Linked DNA regions of Drosophila melanogaster. The protein of the gene in region 1 interacts with the protein of each later gene in a pairwise test. Each region holds a gene or a part of one and is shown in the gene's direction. Other genes may lie near its edges.

Evidence for each region. Proteins that work in one complex are often made in the same cells at the same time.
Region 2: the proteins of RpL32 (region 1) and wus interact in a two-hybrid assay, tested with the Drosophila melanogaster proteins (one large-scale study listed by BioGRID).

What each region holds. Positions count from the first base shown.
Region 1 is NT_033777.3:30,044,595-30,048,028, reverse strand, and holds RpL32 (ribosomal protein L32), read left to right. Parts: upstream 1-1,888; 5' UTR 1,889-2,107; coding exon 2,108-2,139; exon of another isoform or gene 2,140-2,167; intron 2,168-2,242; coding exon 2,243-2,342; intron 2,343-2,404; coding exon 2,405-2,716; 3' UTR 2,717-2,800; downstream 2,801-3,434. Other genes in the region: CG7943 (uncharacterized protein), read right to left, coding at 1-125, 193-322, 386-939; Sry-delta (serendipity delta), read right to left, coding at 3,249-3,434.
Region 2 is NC_004354.4:16,939,144-16,942,901, reverse strand, and holds the start of wus (wurst), read left to right. Parts: upstream 1-2,028; 5' UTR 2,029-2,398; intron 2,399-2,910; 5' UTR 2,911-2,928; coding exon 2,929-3,758. Other genes in the region: CG13001 (uncharacterized protein), read left to right, coding at 320-1,327.

The sequences.
Region 1 (3,434 bases):
CTCTGGCCCATCTCACTCTGCAGCGACACCTTGATCACATTGAGCGGGTAGAATATTGTGCTTATGCTCGCACCGATCACGGCGCCCGCTATGAACTCCTGCACTGTTCGAGTGGATACGGATTTCTGTGGATGGGCAACGGATTGGTTAGTATCTTAGTAGGTTCGTATGTGTGATAGGGTCAACACTCACTCTCTTAGGCAGCCGGACGCTGGCCTCTTCTCGCAGTACGAAAAATAACGCGTTGGACAGGCCGTTGCGCCAAAATACTGGTTCGAGTCCCCTGTAGAGCTCCCGGTAGCCGTGGTGGGAAACCACATACCTGTGGAATGATTAAAAGCCATAAGAAGATCCCATTAGCAAACTTAAAGATCCGTCAGCTCACCTGAATGCGTTTTGTGTGTTGGAGAAGTGCTGGTGGAACTTGGAGTCCGCGAGGAGGGTTTGCACCCGTTCGAAGGGCAGGAGGATGGACTCGGCGCTGCCGGCCACCACGGCCGCTAGCACCTTGGCCCCGTAGTCGTTCAGGCGGTAGTCCTCCACGAGGTACCTCCTCGTCCCGTCGAACACACCGAACATGATGGACAGGGATATGGTCTTCTGGGCGAGCGGCGGCAGCATGCCGCGGTACAGGAAGCCCAGTCCCTCGTGACGCAGCTGTGCAAAGGCCGAGGTGATGGGCACGCCGTGCAGCATCTGACGGAAGATCATCTTGTAGATGGGATAGGTGACCGCGATGTTGACGAAGGCTGCTCCGCAGCCGCAGGCGAACTCCTCCCACTGAAAGGAGCCGAAGAAGCGCTTCGAGAAGACGCTGCCATGCAGCAGTTTCCCCGCCTCCCCGTCTCCATGTGGGCTGTGTGCTCTTCCGGATGGAAACCTTTTAGGGGGCGGTGGGTCGGTGGTTTTCGCGACGTTTGGTGCTCCATCGTCTTTCATCTTGCTGCTGTCCTGTGTTTATTTCGGGCGTGTGGAGAAGTGCGCATTTGTCACCGCGTTACCATTGTAACTATTCAAACACGGGGATTGCGCTGGTTTGGTTTGTTTTGGTTTCGATTCGCATCGGTTTTAATTATATAATAATGAAGAAGAACCACGGTTTGACGGCCACGGCCAGTGTGACCGTCGCTGGACCTCTGCTGCATACCAAAGGACTCTGTTATCCAAATTGTTCACAAGCCAACCAAAATTAATTGTCGAACTTAAATTAGCAGCGGCGGCTTTGAGTTTTGTACTCGCCCTTTTCGGTAATTTACAAACTTAATATAACACCGTATAATTAAAATATTCTTAGCAGTGCGTTTAACAGCACTGTCACTTTATTTTGACCGAATCACCCTGTGTACTTGTTCCACTGACGCAAAGACCACCCTATGGATCAGAAACTTATCATGTGCTGGTATGCATTGGGTGCTCTAAATCCACGACTTGGATGCTTTTGTATTAGCCTCCTAAACCTCGGGAACACCTGCTCCTTGATCGCTTCTGTCAGCTTTTTACTTTTTCATTCCCAGCTTTCTTATCGTTTTTTATCAGATGACGGTGCTGCAAAACATCTATTGAACAGCTGTTGCATCCAGTGTGTAAATGAAATATGTTCACACTGCACAGTGGGTCAAGAGGCAAAGCATATTTAATTATATAACAAACTCCACCAAGCTGAAAATAGTTCCATATTTTGTTGCACATAGTTGCAATCGTCGCAGTTGCTCGGATAGTGATTAAACCTGCAACACCTTATTTGACGCGCCCAAGTTTAAATTCATTACACGATGATCCGCAATATATCGCTTGGCATCGCCATGAACGAAACTATCGGCGAATCATCGACGCACGACGTATCGATGTTTTTTCACACCACCAGCTTTTTCTTTTCGCTTCTGGTTTCCGGCAAGGTATGTGCGTGATTTTGGGCCCACGTGTATTTCCATTAATTTTAAGCCGTAATTGTCGTTTTTGGCGGTTTCGAGTTGAACTGCGTTAGTCCGTGCGCTGTTCGCAAGTGTGCGGCTCGTATTTCGACCGAATTCGGATCGATTCCTGTGAGAGTTCGCCAAATGGCTTCTGTTTGTGATGGGAATTCGTGGGGCGACACACCGGAAACTCAATGGATACTGCCCAAGAAGCTAGCCCAACCTGGTTGAATTATGCATTAGTGGGACACCTTGTGTGTTATTAGCTTGATAAGTGATATTTCCAGTGGGTCAGTGCACTAATGGCTACTTTTGTTGTGTCCTTCCAGCTTCAAGATGACCATCCGCCCAGCATACAGGCCCAAGATCGTGAAGAAGCGCACCAAGCACTTCATCCGCCACCAGTCGGATCGATATGCTAAGCTGTCGGTGAGTGCCAACGAGGATTGTGCCAAATTGTACCCGTGTTTAATCAACATGTCTCCTTGCAGCACAAATGGCGCAAGCCCAAGGGTATCGACAACAGAGTGCGTCGCCGCTTCAAGGGACAGTATCTGATGCCCAACATCGGTTACGGATCGAACAAGCGCACCCGCCACATGCTGCCCACCGGATTCAAGAAGTTCCTGGTGCACAACGTGCGCGAGCTGGAGGTCCTGCTCATGCAGAACCGCGTTTACTGCGGCGAGATCGCCCACGGCGTCTCCTCCAAGAAGCGCAAGGAGATTGTCGAGCGCGCCAAGCAGCTGTCGGTCCGCCTCACCAACCCCAACGGTCGCCTGCGTTCTCAAGAGAACGAGTAAGCTTAAGATTCTTGAGAGTTCTTGTAACGTGGTCGGAATACACATTTGTAAACGTTAATATACCGGACTTTTAGTTAAAAAATGATGTGCGAGTGCCGAGTTCAATTGTCATTTCTGAGATTGGGATAGCAGCACCATTGATAACATGTGCATTATCTGGATGGATATCAGTTAATCCAGACCATTGCGGTCTTTCTTTCTGATAGCAACTGCCTCGAGATATTAGACCAATATAAATTCCTTGACGTGCCAAAACTAGACAGCATCAATCCTTATCAGGGAATTTTGTTATATATTTTACATTTTTCCCCCTTAGTATTGAAAGAGGTTGTTTATATGAAATCATATATATATTCGCAATTATTTTTACAGAACAGTGTACAATTATTATCGGAAATGCTTCTGTCTAAATGAAACGCAGTAATTGAAATACCAGTAAATTATATTTTGTAGGAATCTACAATAATCAAGTACAAAGAGGAGGAAATACACTAGGGAAAGATAAACAATTACTTATTGTAGGCAATGTAGCTTATTTCAAGACCACGTCGTGATCAAATTGCAAGTGGTGTTCGAGCTCCTTCTTGTTCTCGAAGTTGGTATTGCAAATGAGACAGAAGCCGCTGTTCTCATCGTTGTCGGACATGATGACGGTGACGGCCGCCTCCGATTCGTCGACGTCCACATGCAGCTCCTCCACCACCTGCTGCTCGTCGGC
Region 2 (3,758 bases), on another chromosome or scaffold:
TAAATGTAAAAATTACTTCCACGCTCTGGTAACACTGCATTGTATACCAGAAAAAAATGGTATTAGCATTAGCAGAGAAAAAATCAAATAAATAAAGAAAAAATCAATTAAAAGTGCGCCATTCCAAAGGATTATCCCAAAAGACGCGATCATCCATATCAGATGCTTAAGAATCGGCCGGAAAATCCGACATCGAACTATTAGGCTAGTGAAAAAGTGCAAAATAAACATTCGCCCAGTGGAGGGGGCCATACAGAAAACACTCGAGAGTCTTTCGAAAATACACATATTATACCACACGGATCGTTTTGGATCTACAATGGCCACCAGCGAGATCTCGAGCTCCAATGAGCGGCACTACTACGCCAAACTGGAGGCCATCAAGGACATCAGGGACAAGACGCTGTCGCTGGAGAAGCTCAAAGTGCGGATCATCAAGGAGGTGAAGCTGAGCGACGACGAGGAGAAGTGCCTGGAGGAGTACCGCAAGGAGATGGAGCACCTGCTCGAGGAGAAGATGTCGCACGTGGAAGAGCTGCGCCAGATCCACGCGGACATCAACGACATGGAGAACATCATCAAGCAGACGAAGGAGAACCAGACCCGCTCCTTCGACATGGCCAACCGGGTGTACGAGGAGTACCTGGCCCTGAAGTACCAGATTGATCACATGCGCCGCGACTATCTCGGACTAAGCCCGCTGCGAGATCTGCACGAGGAGGAGGGCAGTCCCATTTCGAAGGATCGCTTCCAGACCAACTTCCTTAAGGTGGCCGCCCAGTCGGCGGCAGCAGCAGCTGCTGCAGCTGCGGCGGCGGCCTCGGTTAATCAGAACTCGTCGTTGGCCCGTCCGCATGCCCGGCATCCTCTGATGCCGGAGGCCACGGTCACCGCGCTGCCTTCTGGCGGCGGACAGGGCGGCGTTGGTGGTGGCGGCGCTGCAGGCGGTGGCGGAGGATCTGTGGGCGGCGGAGGCGGTGGTGGCGGCAATCCTGGACACGCCTTCATGCCACCCGCACCGCCGGGAGCAGGCAGTGCTGCTGCCGCCGCCGCTGCTGCTGCAGTGCGTCTGGGCAAGGGTGACTTCTCAGCACCACCGCCACCGCCGCCGCCCAGCAATCGACTGCAGCAATCGCCTTCGATCGGCATCGGCCACCATCCCTCGTTCCGCTCCGACTTCAATGTGAATCTCCGCCAGCAGCCGCCGCCCATGAAGTCCTGTCTGTCCTGCCACCAGCAGATCCACCGGAACGCGCCCATCTGTCCGCTCTGCAAGGCCAAGTCGCGCTCCCGCAATCCGAAGAAGCCCAAGAAGAAGAACAACTAAGTGGCCACCGCTCCAGACCAGCAACTACACTCATCTTAAGTCCGGAGCTGGTTCCGGAAACTCAGCGCACTAAATCGAATGCGTTTTTTTTTTTTTGCCTCATCTATTTATTATTAATCCCAATGAAAAGTATTACAACGACGCAAGGCGGGTGTGCTCATGATTATCGGAGAAGATTTAAAAGAATGTCAAATACTTGCATTAATATTTTATACATTACTAGTGTATTTGAAAATCGATGAAGAAATTATTCATGACACGCCGGCCGCTAACAAATTCTCATAACAATTTTAGTTGGTAAACTCAATGAATTTGATTTTTATTTTAACTATAATCATAGGCTAAGTATTTTTTAAAAGCTCAAATAACGTGTCAAATTATCGAGAACAAAAATTTTGTTTATACATGTAAGCCATGCTAAATATGCAACTATGTTATATTTAAGCAGCAAAAAAAAAACACAAATATCAATAAAAATATTTCATTTTTAAATGGGTTCTTTTGGTTATAGATTAAATTATTTGGATTATTGGATTTGATTTTATATGTGTGTATTTTAATACAATAACTATAACTGATGTTTATATACTTGCATTATATTTTATACATTTTACATTTGCCATACATCGTTTGTGAACTAAAGAGTATTGTAGATATACAACGTACTAAAATTTAGATCCATGGTATTTTGGCCTGTCCCTGCACTTGGTCACACCTAGCTTAAGCCGAGCAAAAAGTTCGGATTTTTATTCAATTTTTTAATCCAGCCCGCAAAACAACAAATTCGTATTGTTTCAAATTGTTTCAATTGCAATTTTAGTGAAACATAGCAACAACCAGTTCAAATTGAACGCATCAGTGCACTTGGTTTTCTTTTTTTTTTTTGTTTTTGTGGATCAGTTTGTCGTTTTTGTTCTTGTTGTCGCTGCGTGCGTAGAATTTGTGAAAAGAGAAAGTTCTGCGCCGCGTCTTTCTCCGCCTCTCTTTCTCCAATTCTTCGCACAGTCGTGGCCAAGAAGTTGCGCCTGCGCAGCGACAATTTCACAAGAAATCGAGGTCGATCGCAAGTGGGTAAGTATCTTTCACGGAAAGTGGCCCAAAAAGTGATGTTTAAAGACTGGAACTAAAATAATAACAATAAATTAATTATATATCCTCGAAACTCTTTGCTGTATGTAGTCTTCATAAGAGTTTTCTTTATAGGCCACCGTTCTTTATTCGTTGATTTAAAATACGTAAAGCTTATCTTCAATCAGTTAAATGTGCTACATCAAATCGTGTTACTTTACTTAAAATATTCATATATATTTTAATATATTGTTATGTGTTGTATATTAGATATGCTTGTTATGTTATTGCTCAGCGTGCCACTATTTCAACATATATTACGCTAATATATTAAGCTAATTAATTATTTCATAATTGCAATTTTTTGAATAATCGTTAATGTTGTACTACCAATATACATATGTTTATTATGTTATGTTGTTTTTTAAAAGTTGTCCTCTTTCCATAATATTGTTAGTAAAACTACTTCCGAATTATTCCGTTTATCATAACAATTTTGCCCCCTTCCCTTGCAGTAATCCGATTGGAACACCATGGGCACCACGCAGACAGTATCTCCAGTGGCTGGAAAGGATAAGACCAACGATACCTCCAAAGGATCTCCCTCGAAGGCTAAGTCCAATGGCCACGCGCAAGGCAAGACCAAAAGCAAGGAGATGAACGCTCTGCCGCCCCAGAAATCGGTGGTCATTGCCTATCTATGCTGGCTTTTCGGCGGAATCTTCGGCCTGCATCATCTGTACTTGCACCGTGACCGCCACGCCTTCATTTGGTGGTGCACCCTGGGTGGCTACATGGGCATTGGCTGGATGGGCGAGCTCTTCCTGATACCCGAATATGTACGGGATGCCAACGAGGATCCCAAGTTCGTCAAGATGTTCGTGGCCAAGCTGCAGGCGTATCCGAAACCGCCGTACTCCTCGAAGAGATTCGTGGGCCAGGTGATGATCGGCCATCTGTTCGGCCAGGTGTGCTCCATGGCCATTCCGGAGACCCTGGTCGGTGGCTGGGATCTGAGCTTCCTACACTGGACGATTCCGCTGTTTGTTTCGCTGGGCGTTTGGCTGGTGGGCAACATTGGCCGGGAGCAGGGTGTATGGTGGCACTGCCTGGTGGCCGCCTATCTGGCGTATCCGGCCAGGTATTTGATATATGACGAGACCTACTCCCTGCTGCTCACTGGTCTCGTGGCGGCACTGACCTTCGACGGCTTGTCCAAGCAGTGGCGCAGGACTCCGCCGCGCAGGGGAAGCCCCGGTGAAAGGACCTTTAAGCTAACCACCGCCGTGATCATCTACTGCGCCTTCTGGGGCAGCTTCCTGTATTTCAACGGCACCATTTCGGACGAGGACGGCGGCGAGGT